Linked DNA regions of Drosophila melanogaster. The protein of the gene in region 3 purifies or fractionates together with the protein of the main gene of each other region. This does not show direct contact. Each region holds a gene or a part of one and is shown on either strand. Other genes may lie near its edges.

What was found.
Region 1: the proteins of Cyp4ac1 (region 3) and FipoQ purify together in Drosophila melanogaster (affinity purification with mass spectrometry, with the first as the bait; one large-scale study listed by BioGRID). This does not show direct contact.
Region 2: the proteins of Cyp4ac1 (region 3) and CG8888 purify together in Drosophila melanogaster (affinity purification with mass spectrometry, with the first as the bait; one large-scale study listed by BioGRID). This does not show direct contact.

The regions. Positions count from the first base shown.
Region 1 is NT_033777.3:29,494,470-29,499,423, reverse strand, and holds FipoQ (F-box involved in polyQ pathogenesis), read right to left. Parts: upstream 2,884-4,954; 5' UTR 2,747-2,883; coding exon 2,651-2,746; intron 2,425-2,650; coding exon 2,100-2,424; intron 2,038-2,099; coding exon 1,419-2,037; intron 1,361-1,418; coding exon 1,193-1,360; intron 1,125-1,192; coding exon 921-1,124; intron 862-920; coding exon 726-861; 3' UTR 501-725; downstream 1-500.
Region 2 is NT_033778.4:12,076,423-12,081,451, reverse strand, and holds the start of CG8888 (uncharacterized protein), read left to right. Parts: upstream 1-1,908; 5' UTR 1,909-2,133; coding exon 2,134-2,157; intron 2,158-4,153; coding exon 4,154-4,399; intron 4,400-5,029. Other genes in the region: CG13186 (uncharacterized protein), read right to left, coding at 1-134.
Region 3 is NT_033779.5:5,262,182-5,266,430, reverse strand, and holds Cyp4ac1 (cytochrome P450 4ac1), read right to left. Parts: upstream 2,431-4,249; 5' UTR 2,398-2,430; coding exon 2,196-2,397; intron 2,136-2,195; coding exon 1,932-2,135; intron 1,874-1,931; coding exon 1,792-1,873; intron 1,736-1,791; coding exon 1,635-1,735; intron 1,576-1,634; coding exon 635-1,575; 3' UTR 532-634; downstream 1-531. UniProt on the Drosophila melanogaster protein: May be involved in the metabolism of insect hormones and in the breakdown of synthetic insecticides.

The DNA.
Region 1 (4,954 bases), on a different chromosome or scaffold from region 3:
TCGACCACAGCACCCACCTTCGATCCTATATCGTCATAGGCACAGACATTACGTATGTATAACTCACGCAGCTATGCTTAACTAAATTATATACCATGCATATAATAGCTGAACGCTGATCGGCAATGAGACGATAATTCAAACGGAGATGATCTACATATGTACGTTAAGTTTATGGTAAAAAGTCGATTCAAAAATGTTGAAACATACACACACAAAAAAAAAATTAAATTAGCATTAAGTTTGCAATGGATGAAAGCAGTGTAAAAATCATCAGCAAAACGCTAAAACGCAAAAACGATAAACATTTTATGTGGTGAAGTCTGAAAATGATTTAATCAAGTTACCAAGTAAATCTAGTTAAAAACAAAACACGAATCAACGCGGATTGAAATGATTAAAAAAAAAAAAAAAATGATTTAAAAACGAGAGCAAGGCGAAAAGTTGCGTTGTATAATTTTGTAATGTAAAAATAACTTGTATAAGCAAATCCTTGTTTTGTTTTTATTTAAATTACCTATGTACGTTTATTTAGATTTAAAGTAATTAAACGAAAGAAGCGGAAAATACAGAAAACATTAAAACACTCTTATTGTAAGCGAAAACACACAGAAACATTGCTTCTCCTCCGGCCCTGTTGTGGGTAAATCCCATCCAGAGCTCTGCAACCGGGTAAGTGCAAGCTACCAATCCTCTCTTGGCTTTCAGCTCTGAACCTCAGAGGCTCAGTTGAAAATCAAATCGTTGTAGTTGCGGAGCAGGTGATAGGGAGACACACGGCAGCAGGTGGTGGTGCGCACCACGGTGATGCGATCGGCACGCTCAAAGTTGGCCTTGACCGTCTCATAGTAGCGACCATCGCTGGAAGCGAAATATTGATGTTAATCCCGCATAGAAATAGGAGTCTGATGTAGACCCACCTGAGCACCATGCAGCGCAGCTTGAGGCACTTGACGCGCAGAATATCGATGGCCTTCTGGCTCTTGTCGGAGAAGCGCAGGTTGTCCGGATCCCAGCGCAGCTCCAGCCGCTCCAAGTTGCCGCAATTCGAGGCGATGGTGTCCATCAGCTGGTCCACGTGGATGTTGACGCCCAGCTTCTCTGCGGTGCCCATAACAATGATCCTGCAGGTTAAGAAAGTTCAGCTCATAATAAAATGTCTTTTCATTCGATGACCAATAGTGTCGCCTACTTGCAGTTGCCCAGCAGGGGCAGGATGCTCATCCACAGCTGGTCGGTGATGTGGGGCATGCCCGAGAGACAGCAGGCGCTCAGCTGATGACCCTGGCGCTGTATAAACTTAAGCAGGCCCTCATCCGAGATGTTGTCCGAGGAGTCCAAGTCCAGGGAAATGAGCGACCTAAATCATACTGCTATCGGAGTGCTTACACAGACGGGTAGGTACTGTCTCCGCTCACCTGGTGGTGCCCGATTCCATCCACTGCTTGAGAACGCTGTCGTTGAAGCCATTGATCTGGCCGGCTGAGAGGAACTTGAGGCTGGGGATCCTGCTCAGCATGTCCACGAGGCATTCGGTCGAAAGATCGGTGGCCGTGATGTCCAGCTCCTGCAGGGCGCACTTGTCCCACTCGGCCTGCATGACGAACTCCGACTTCAGGCTGGTGCCGTTCATGAGCAGGCAGGTGAGGCGCTTGGAACGCTGGATCAGGGTCTTCAGGGTGGAGCCGGTCACTTTGTTGCAGAAGTTGACGGCCAGGCACTCCAGCTGGATGCAGTTCGAGCTGAAGGCGTCGATGTGCGAGTCATCGATGAAGTTGATGCCGTACAGGTTGATCACACGCAAATTGGGCGTGGCCGACTTGAGCTTGTGCACGTTGATCACCTCGTAGATCTCCTCCTCCTCCTCCTCGCACTTCTCGTACGTGCCAATTAGATGCAGCACCTCCAGGCCGTTGATGAAGTTGTAGATTTTGCGCATGAAGCCCTCCATGAAGATCACCTCCGAGAGGCAGACGCACATGTAGCGCAGCTTGGTGGGAAAGGCCTGCATCTCGCTGAAGTCGTGCAGCTGCATGGCTAAGAAGTACACAGGACACTCTAGAGTTTAAGACGGACGATCGGCGACGTGGCGCACCCACCTGTGGAGAAGTCCAGCAGCATGTGGGTCAAATTGGGGCACTTGGCGGACAGTTCGTGGAGCACCGTGTGCGTGATCAGCTCGATGGGCAGCTCGATGTAGCGCAGAGTCGGTCCGAATCTCACCGAGATCAGCTGCAGCAGCATCTCCAGCGAGCCCACGTGCAGTCCGGAGACCTCCGGTCGCAGGCTCACGTTCTTCCACAGCCGCGTGTCGTATGCAATCTGCCGCCATCGTCGGCAAATCCTGGCCAGGCGGCAGATCTCGCGGTGCGACAGATACGAGAAGATGTGCAGCAGCACCTTGTCCGGCAGCTTCTCAATGGTCTGTGGATGAGAGTCACGATATATAGTGGTATATCCTATGGTACTACATAAGTGATTCAAATATGATCTCTAAATGTAAATCTAAACGACAGTTCGGAATAGTTGAGTGCGAATGTGGTGCTATATATTCTACGGGTGAGTGAATCTATAGATACTCTCTCTTACGCCACAGACTGGCTCTCCCAAATGAGTGGGATCCCTAAGTAATATCCCAAACCCATCGTACCGTATCGGCGAAGGGACTGCGAACTGTGCCGTCGGAGAGGTAGACCTGCGATGCCTCCACGGCCAGCTGACCCCAGATATCGGTGGATATATCCATGGCTGGGTGTGGATGATTCGGAACCACTTGCTTATATAAAAAAAAAATATAGCTACACACGGGGCAAACTACGCGTGCTCTGCCTGCGAGGCGAGAATATCCGTCGTATCGAGCTACTTTCGCGCTACTGCGAGCCGCATTCCCATCGACGTGCCATCGGAATCTCCAAAGATCCGCCAGGCAGTAGTAGACTCAAGAGAACCCTAGGCTTATTTATAGACCAGCGCCAGTAACGAGAGCACTGCCACATCGCATCACTCAATCACTCTACTTTCGGATGCATCAGCTGTGCTGTTCACGGGCGACGCACCACACCACTCACGCACTCTTTAAGAACAAATAGAACCACTAGAACCACCAGCACCACTCACCCAGCGGTGCACGTGGAGAAACATGCTGATAAAATCCCTGCCAAATCTCTTCCTTTCCTCGTCAGATTCAAAATCATTAGTAAGCTGTATAAAAGTATCTCGAGATATTTTACTATATTTTACTTATATCTAAAAGTATCTGATATTGCTGATAGTATCTACCTTTTGTAGGTTCGGATAACCTATGGATTCATCTTAAGATATTTCTACTTCTTAGATACTTTAAGATGCATCTGAAAATGCTTCTGTTTCCCGAGGAATAACCTTCTGAGCTTTATCCTTTAGCGCCTACTTTAAGATACATTTCCGCACAGCCTGCTTTTGCATATATATATTTAATAGTAATAATAGATTTCGAACCCCTTTTACTTTCTCAGTGCACAATGTTTGTTGCCAAGAATTCTATATATACGCCATCGTTCGTCTGTCTGGCTTTGTTTTGTTTACTACATCTAATATGTATATCTATCTGCACATGTGTATGTTCTATGTACAGGGTACTCACCAGTCGGGTCTTCACCACGCCAGAGTCGTGGAGTCCGATGGCCTGCGAGGAGGTTTGCGCTGCCAAAACATTCCAATTATCCATGGTGGGCACTGCGCTCTAGTTCGCGATTTGGATTGGGATCAGCCGGAAAGCTGAAGGTGTTCGCTGTCTCAGCTGTACAATATGTATGTATGTATGGTCTTGCTGGATCCGTCCGCTTCTATCTATGTATCTATGTATCTATGTATCTAACTAAGGGAGGAGATGTGCCGGCTATACTCGCATGAGATACATTCATTCATGAGCTAAACTATTTCTGCAAGGCTTTCCCAATTAGTCACACTGAATTCTGAGCATTTCAAACTAATTGTTATTTAGAAATTATTAGTTTACAAGCAGCTAAGCTAATTAAATTACCACATTTTGAAGCAAATTAATAGGAAATCTATATTCAGTAGTCTATTAGTTCTGGAAAGTATAAGTATATTAAGTAAGCAAGCGAAAGCAGTTAGTTAAAACTTCGTTTTTACTATGTTATTTACCCATTTGATTAGTTGATCAAACGAAATTGTTAGACACTTTCCGCAAATAAACGAGTGCGAGAAGGAAAGCTTTTAATTAATTAATTAATTGATGCCCGCAGGCGATTAAAATAGCAAATTCACAATTATGCAAACTCAGTGAACACACACACATTGTTCACTTGCGACTTTTGATTTTCGACGAGGATGGGCGTCACATCTGAATTTGTTTCATCCTTCGCCCGGTTTATTAATAGTTTTCCCTCAGCTGGTGGATCTGGTGGAAAAAACTGTTGGGGTTGCAAGTGCAACGTGGAAAGTGCAGTTTCGTAACTTTAGCACTTTCGTTGCAAGTTGAAAAAAAAAACTAGGGAAATTCACTTGGCAAATTCACTTATTCTGTTGCAAATTACTGGCAAATCGGATTGATAAATTCCGGCGAAAATCGACGGATTCTGCGGCTTTACATGGGCGAATGCTCCGCGTTCTCGACGGCTCCACAACTCTGAGAAAACTGAGAAAATCAGGCGTCCGCGGAAAATGGTTTATGCCAAAATTCACTCGGCTAGTTGATCGTACTACATGCGGAGTACATGGCTACATGGGCATCTGGGGATCTGTGGATCTGTGGATATGGAGGGGTTATTCGGGGCGATCTCTGCGAGTGCAGGCGTCATTTGCTTTTCCCATGGCGAGCGGCCAACAGAGGGGCGGTTGCCCAGGGGGCGTGGTCGATCGTTGGGAAACAGATATTACAAATGCTAGAAACTACAAAAAATCACTTCTTATGATTTGAGCACTGGATTTTATTCAAAAATTAGCCCATATC
Region 2 (5,029 bases), on a different chromosome or scaffold from region 3:
TCGTCGGCCTTGGTCTGGAAAATGGGACACTCGTACGTGTGCTCGATGTAGATCATGGAACGATCCTTGGAGAAATGCTCATCGGAGGACCAGTCCACGTCCTTTTTCTTTTTTGCCGGCTTCTTTGGTGGCATTGTGGTTTTTTTTTTAGATTACTTTCACAATTTCGAAGTGATTTTGTTAATAACCAAAACCCATTTTTATTTCGAATGTTGACAATCCTAGAATTCATAATTGCTTTGATTGATTGCTTTTTGGTTCACTTATGATTCTCTGGTACAAAAGTACTGTGAACCATAAATCTTCTTTCGTACATTTCAAAGTGCGCAACGATGTCCAGAATATTTTTGCTGCGCCTATTTTTAAAATGCATGACAATCCGAAAGAGTCAACAACTTTTGGTGGCACGCATACGAAAAGAATCGCTGTTCGTTTGTTAATTTGGCTACATTGACTGACAACGCAGCCGCCTTTGAAAAAATTACAAAAAACGATATTGTATAGATGCAGGGGAAAATGCTTCCATTGGCTGGGTAGCCACAATTTTGTTCATTATATATAGATTTTTGTTTTGTATATATGCAAAGCTCCAATATAGACGTCAATTTATGGCACTGTCTATATTCATGCAGAAAAGCTACTCAACAAATTCTATGCATAACAATAATATATTGTTGGACACAAAAACATGCATAAACAATGGGAGAAAACATAAAAATCGAGTATTTAAAGCAAGTAAATTATACGATGAGAGCATTTCGACGACTATCAGATATTCTTTACGGATTCCATTGAATGTAGGTTTATCACAAAATACGCTGATATTTATCATAAGCTGGAAGAAGATACCAATACCAAATCAATGGATTGTTTTCATAAAAAAATGAAGAATGAAATCGCAAACCCTATTATTTTCAAGTCTCTTAATAGTGTTTGAAGGACATCTAATTGAACTGATTTTAAGAGCAAACATAGTCTTCTTATATAATTTGTGCATTTTTAATTGGAATCATTTAAATTCTTATTTTGGAGCGTAAACATGATTGCAACACTCTTTTATTTGCTTGATTTTATTGGTTGCGGGATTGCGAGATTGCAAATGGTCATTTATTGCATTTTATTTCTCCATTTCTCGTGGCTGAAGCTGAATGATTTTTTACCTTCAGCTGCCCACACGTGGCCCGCATTTTCCTGATCCCCCCCAACCCCCTCTGACCCAGAGGGTCATGGTTTATTTATGCAATTTTCCAATTTTCCCAACATCGGCCCACAAATAAAACCGAAATGAAAGCATACAAAATGCAGCAAAGAGCTGGGAATTTAAAAAAATAAAAAACCAAAAATGTATATGAAAATGCAATTTGCAAATTAACAACAACGCAATTGTAAACAACAGTGACAATGACGTCACAGTGAAACATACAACAGAAATCTATTCGTTGTGGGGTTAAGAATGCAACTTTTGGCGTTTGCACACATACTAATTATGCGCATAAACTGTGTATTCAAAACTAGGGTCATTTTGAAGCAATATTCAAATGAGCCAAAAAGAATATTTCAACAAATGTATCTGCACACTCGGAGTTTTTTTTCTGCTGTTTTTCCGCTGTGGAAAAATAATCATCGATGCTGCGGCTTCAGTGGGGCAGCGCCAAGAGCAACAAATATTTAAATATATTTATTATTCTGAATAGGCGTGCCAGCGTGTGTATATGTATCCCACATACGCATGTCTGCACATACTTCAGATATATTTTTAAAAAATCAAAACGACAATTTGCTGCTTGCATCATTTTGAAATACAACAGAACTTGAACGTCGACGTCGACGTCGCCAGCGGCAGCGGCAGAGATCGTCGATCGGCGAGCGAAAATTTTCGGCAGCTGCAGGCAGCGCCACTCGATCGTACCGCTTAGTGCCACGCCGTGTCTCAGAGCGCCCAGGCCACGGGCCCCCAAACCGTACCGCTGCGGAAAATCGATCTTGAAAATATATACAATACAAAAAAAAATCTAAAACTCTAGCACCGGATATATTATAGTCTAAGACTACGAGAATTGCCCACTTCATTGGGAAAGTGCGTGAAAATCCGAACATTACCATCGACCATCTACACCATCATCAGCATCCGTCATGCAGGTCTTCGATAACAATATGGTAAGTGAAATCTAGCCTGCGGCAAAAAAGCCATTTGTGGCCATGTTTACGCAGGCCAAATTTATTGTCGCCACGTTTGTGTATACCTTATGGCACACTTAGCCCAGTTAGCTTAACCCAGAAATGCCAATACACAAACTCCAGTCTGGCATAACCACGCCCATTTTGGCCGCAGAAGAAAAGGATATCCTTTGGCGGCAACGAAGGAGCAGAAAGGCAGGAAGTCATGCGGTGTTCAGAACGGGCCGCCAAATTAATTACAAAAATTCACTTAATGGCCACGATCCAAGTGGGTCAACGTACGTGCGAGCCACTAGAAATTGAAAGATGCAAAATGCTAGATGCAAAATGCTAGATGTAAAATTTAAGTGTTCCGCCAGAGACTTGTCAAAATTCTACCGCCTGCCTGGGATTTTAAGTGCAACTTAAATGGATGTAGTAATGTTATAATGACTACATTATAATCAGATTTGCACAATAAAAGTCTTGACATTGAGGCAAACGATTATGAACATTCCACAAGGGATTGGATTTTTTCCAAACGAAATACACATCAAATACATTTTCATCATGAAAATACAGTGCGAGTATTTTTGCAATGCCAGAACTTTCCATTCCATTTGATTCGGCCGCATCATCTAAAAATAAATATCCATATCTTTATTAATAATAAAAATAAGCTTGGAGACATATACCGATTTCTTGGCAGCTGAGCGACCCCATTAAGTACATAAATCGTACATAAATACACATAAATATAGATATATCTGAACCGGCAGCAAGTGCATATATGTATATGTACATACATAGATCGGATCGAAATTGTCGCCCATATGTAGGCCACTTACAGAATGGCGGCATTAGTCACATATAATACTCACGTATCTGTGGCAAACTAAGTCCCAAAATTGGTGGCAAGGTCGCCGGATGACGAAAGCAATCCGAAATGACATGGTCGATTTCCTTTTAATATTCCAGACAGCACTAGGAGGTATAAATAGATCCGGCGATTTTACAAATCCGGCGAAGGAAAAATAGTCGAAGCAACCGAAATGGAATTGCTTTATTTTCAGGCCGAATAAATCAATTGGCTTCTGTATTTATGCAGATGCCACCATTTGATTATTTCGCACTGTCGTTGATTTATGGCCAATGGCCAAAAGGGGCTGCCAAGGGTGCCCTCTTGCCAGCCATTTTTCCCACACACACAACCGACCGATTTTCCAGTGGCTTTCCCACACTTTTTCGAGAGTATTGTGCACGTCATGTGTAATTGCTATACGTCAATGTCAATGTGTGGGTTAGCGTCTGATAAATGCAAGCATATGTATATGTTGGTGTAAGTGCTTGTGGTCGTTTCCGGATCCTGTGGCTGCAATTGGTTAGCTTTAATGAAATGCCCGATGATATATTGTTGGGCAAATATGTGCTCGACCATTTCATCAGCCATTGAATTCGAACATTGAGCAGAAGTATTATCGATTTCAACGAGCACCAAATCGGAAGTCCTGAGTCAATAAATTGTATGGATTGCAAATGGCAAAAGATTTTCATCAGCTTTTCTCGATTGGCGGGCAACAGATTGCCGCTCAGAGTTTTCCAGCGAATTCCCGACTAATCCAAATAAAACTTCACAGCTTCCCCGACAATTCCGGTAAACTCAGGACACCTGTCAAGCAGAAGAAAGCACTCAATGCAATTCTGGGAATATTTCCAATCGGATATCTTTGATTTTCCGCTATGGAAATAAAAACAATGAGTGCGTGCAATAATTTGCATATTCACCTTATTTATTGATCAAAACACAAACAAACGAGAGCTGCCACAATTGTTTAAATATTTCCCAAACAAACAAGGCGCAGCTATTTTGTCTGGCTATTTATAGAGCTGAAAACTGAAATGCTAAATGCGCTGCAATGAAATGAATAATTAAATTGGCATATATACCACCGTGATTAATATCTATCTATGTATCTATATATCTTTTATCCTTTAGCGCCGTGCCTCGCGACGCGCCTCCTTGCGACGAGGATCCATATCGGCACTGCCGCAGAAGTCGCACGAGATTCCCTGGGACATATTCGAGCGACTATTCATGCCCTTCCTGTTCTGCCAGGCGGCGGCCATTGTCACATCGCACCTGCTCCACGCCCTGGACATCTCGAGCATCTCGACCTTCGCCGTGTTCGTCTGGTTCGCTCTGGCCACCGTGGGAGCCGTGCTCTTCTATCACTTCGTCAAGGTAAGTCATCCCGCTTGGCAGACTTTCTAATCCTTAATTCTGGCGAAAACCGCATAAGGGATCGGAGTGTCTTGGGCTTGGGCCTGGGATTGGTATTGGACTTGGGGTTTTCGGTTTCGGTTTCAGCGCCACGGGCGTCCATAAGTTAGGGGCTCTGTCTGCCGGGAACGGTCTTTATTTTTCCCTTCCGTTTTGGCCGGGTACAAGTGCCAAGCCAAAACCACAAGTGACGACGGAGGGTCTCAAATACTAGGCAAAACAAATCAGTGGCACTAAAAATAGTCGTCGGGCCAGCAAAGAATCCATATACACAAGGCGGCGGAAGGAGAGGGTCCTGCGGCAGGCACGTCGTCAACTTATGCTTAACCAGGCCGAAGGGGAAGGAGGAGCTGGTGGAGCAGATGTAGCAGGAGGATGCACAGGAAACCCTTGACTATGGATTTGGCTTCGGATTTGCCTGCGTGTGGTATTTCAGGGCTTATACTGTGCCTGGCAGCCAGCCGGGAAATGAAAATGAAAACAAATAAATAAGCAGGCAGGCAGAGCAGAGCAGTCCTGGTGGGCAAACCCGAGCACAACTTGCTGAAAGAAAAGGGTTTGGTAATGAATATAAATTCGCAAGTAGGAAAA
Region 3 (4,249 bases):
TCTACGTTTATATTATATTCCGGTCAGAGGTTCCAATACCTCTCAGATTAAGCTCCGATCTATAAATGACGAATACTGATTAGAACTCAGTGATCGGAACAATTGAGTTCTGTAAAATCAATAGGTACTTAGTATAAAACATGTTCCCTTGCGGCATGCAATTGATGGGTATATTAAATTGCAAATACTGCACTGTTTTTAGAAAGTCTTGTGTAACAAAATTTTTTGAAATTTACGATATTTATGTATATTGGCTTTTGATTTTTTTTACGTAAGCTTTAATTTGTATATAAAGCTATAAAGCTGTATAAAGTAGTCGGTAGTTTCACTATTACAAACATGCAAATTGATCACAATGTATCCTCTCCATAAAAAAGCAACCAGCAATTTATTTAAACGTTACCGATTGTGATGAACGTGTTAATTAAATTAATTACATGTTAGGATATCTTTAGTTCAATCATTTCATCGTTTAATCATAAATCGTTATATTTTACATGACAGATAATAAGACAAGCGATCAATCGTTTTAGAGTTTCAATCGTTTTACTGGTTTATTTGTTTCTCTAAACAAATTACAAATAAAAGCTCTTTGGCAAACCGTTTTCCATAAACTTACACTAGGAAATATTCCTCATTTTACCCTTTTCGATAGCTTCACTTTGATATTCTCTTGTGTGCGCAGCACGATTCCGTTCTCAAAAGTGAGATCCTCCAACTGGGTGGCGGGCAGGAGTTTAAAGTTCCTAATCACAGCGGCCAGGAGCACCTTCATCTCCAGAATGGCAAACTTCTGACCAATGCAATTCCTCTGGCCTGCACTAAAAGGCACATATGCAAAAGGATGACGATTCACTGTGTTCTCCGGTAGAAATCTGTCTGGCTGGAACAGATCTGGTTTCGGGAAATGTCGCGGATCTCTCATTATGTCGTATATGTGGATGCTGATCTGGGTGTCCTTTGGCATCACCATTCCATTCACCACAGTCTCCTCCACGCATTGGCGCCCAATAAATGGCACTGATGGAAACATTCTCAGCGATTCCTTTATCACACATTCCAAGTAGACTAGTTTGTTGAACTGAAACATACTGATGTCATCGCTGTCCTCGGGAAGATTTTCCACCTCCTCATAGCACTTCTTCTGGACATCCTCGTGGAGAGCCAGCATCAATAGGGTAAATATTAGACAGGTGGACGTAGTATCGTAACCCTCGAACATAAAGGTATTGACCTCATCGCAGATACCCTGATGATCGATCTGACCATCTGCTTCGGCTGCTAACAGGGTATCCAACATGGCGTATCGCTGCTTCCTGCCAAATTCATCGACTTCTCCAAGTTGTTTCTGCTGGAATTGCTGCCTTTTTCGTTCGATAATGCGACTGGAGAAGTCGTGAACTATTCGAAGATTCTGCAAATGCTTTCTATAGTCTCCGTAAACGAAGAAATACCAGTTGTAGTACATCAGCGGATTGCACACGCGTTGAATTAGAACTTCCTCGATGGCATGGATGGCCTTTCTATATTCGTTGCCCTCCGACATGTCATCCAGCTTCACACCCAGAGCAGTTTCTATAAAGGGTATGGTTTAGTTTAAATGTTCTTAAATATTATCACTTCATTCAGCTCACCGCATATATTATTCAAAGTAAATGGCGGAATAACCTGGTTAAGCTCCAGTTCTGCATCTAAATTTTTCTCTAAAACGTTAAGGAACTTCTTGCACTCTTCCCTAAAATAAACTTATATTTGAGCGAATTCAATAGTTAATTAATAGTTCAAACTTACTTGAAAATACCCAGGAATGACTGCAGGACATTGAAGTGAAAGGCGGGCGTTAAAGCCTTTCGTCTGGAATGCCATTTGTGATCTTGAAATCATTGATTAATTAGTAATTATAATAATGCAGTACAAATTGATTGAATCACCCGTGCTTATCAGGAGTCCGTCTCCCAGAAATGGTCTAATCAGTTCGTAAACCACGTTCTTCGTTATCAGCTTGGTGCTCTGGAATACCTCCTCAGCTTCCTCGGGTCGAACCACATTATACATGGGTGCATATAGAAAATACCACAGATAATTCTGACCCTTGGCCTTGGCCGTGGACTCGCGCACAAAATTAAAAACACTAGCTGTAATAAAACTTGAAAAGTAGTTATAAACCTATAATCGCATTGAGTAACAAAACGAACCCGGCGTAAAGTTCAAGATATCCAAGTTGTTGCCAAATCGCGTTTTTCCCGGCATTATGGCCACTTTGCTTTCCAATGGACTGCCATCCTCGGTTCGCACACGCTTCGTTAATGAAAGTATAAAGTAGGTTTTGTTAATGTGTTTTAGAAGAAGCGTTAGGACCGCCAACAAAATCGGGATCCCCAGCAGAGCGATCCACATTTTGTCGCAAAATTCTCCGATCGGTCCGTTCTGCAGGCAATTTCACTACACACTAAGCTTTGGCATATCATCAAGCCTCTGTAATCATAATCAATTGTATGTACTATACTGTTTAAAACAATAACAATCTCAAAACAGCTTTCTGTTATCAGGAAGCCAATTATATGGTTGGATTATATCAATTATTGTGGTTGAGTGCTGTTGAGTTCTATTCTTTTTTATACTCGACTTTGCAATTTTTTAATTTTGGATTGTCTATAATGATGACTCCATTTTGAAGCATTCCAACATTTTAAGTATTATATCACTGATGCTATGGCCGGCTTTAAATGGTCAGTCATATTTTTATGATTATCTTGAAGCTTAATTTAATCGCTTAATGGTGAATACTAAAGCGTTCGGTTGTGTCAACAAAAACAGTCTAAAACCAAATAATTGGTTAACTCATTTAAAAGTAAAAATTATTTATTCCAGCACGCAAAGCTTTTAGACTGTCAGAAATTGAACTAATTGCTTTTTAATGCATATAAGCTATAATGTCATGCTATTGATTTCAAAGCGATATGGTTTTATTTTTGTTGGCAGTAGAGCTGGCTAATTATTAGTGCCTATAAGTATACATAGGAAATGTTAAGGTAATGAGATTAAAATAAAAAAATTATGGTATTCTCCATTCAACAGCTGCCTACTATCAAAAGGCATAATAATTAATTGAAGCACTTGACAGATATTGAAATTGTTAGCGAAGCATTTGAAATAGTTCAAACTGGCTTACGATCGTTTTTTTTTTTTGTTTGCCCATATGACCATTCCAGATTAATAACAATTTCTTGGCAAATTTCCTCCCAGGCCAAGCGGCATATTTTCCCATCGTTCCAACTATGGAACTGGCTGCAGAAAAAAAGAGAAAAACTAGCAATGTCGCATCAAAATGCCGCATTGATTAAAGTTTGATTAGCTGCAGCTTGGCCAGATCGCATTTGGGCTTGAGGAATTAATTTGAGCCAAGTTTGTAATGCGCGCGCAGAAATGGCAATGCCACAGTTGCAGTTGCTGCCGTTGCAATCTGGCCAATTGCAGCCTTTGCTGCAATAGAAGTAAATGTGGAAAAAAATTAAATCACAGTAATTACATTTTCTGTGGAAATGGCCGGAGCCGGAGATGAACGCGCAAACATGCTGCACGACCAGTGCGTGGACCTGGATGACAAAAATAGTCAATGCAGCAGGAGTTGCAGCAGCAACTGCAGCAGTTGCGATCAGCAACGGTCACAGCAGCAATCACAAACTGCATTTGGGCATGAAAAGTGCTGTGCCGGCACAATTGGATGGAAAAACTGGCCCTGTCTCTCCGTTTCTTGTTGTTATGAACAAATGTTATTGCGGCGGCAACATGCTGCATGTGTTGCTGCTGCCACAGGAGCAACATCAACTGCCGCTGCTGCTGCTGCTGCTGCTGTTGCTGCTCATTAAGATGCAAAAGACGTCGCTTGCCGCCTTTTTAGAATTACTAATTGAATCGACGCGATCAGTGGCAATTGCAGCGGCGGCATTGGCCACAAAAACCAAAAACCAACAGTGAACAACAACCATTGCGGTGGCGGCTTGAATGTTTGTTTGTTAGTTTGTTTGTTGTTTCAACCGCTGCTGCGCTGAATGTTGCTGCCGCTACTGTTGCAGCTTCCGTTGCGGCATGAGTACACAAACATACGGTCATACGCCTGCGTATTTATTTATTTATGTACGTGATTCGCAGCGTGGTTTTGCGATTCTCTCAGCGCAATTCGCAAAGCAAAAATCTGAGCCAAAGCAGAGCAGCTATCCCTTCAATGGCGATGCACATCCGCAAGCCG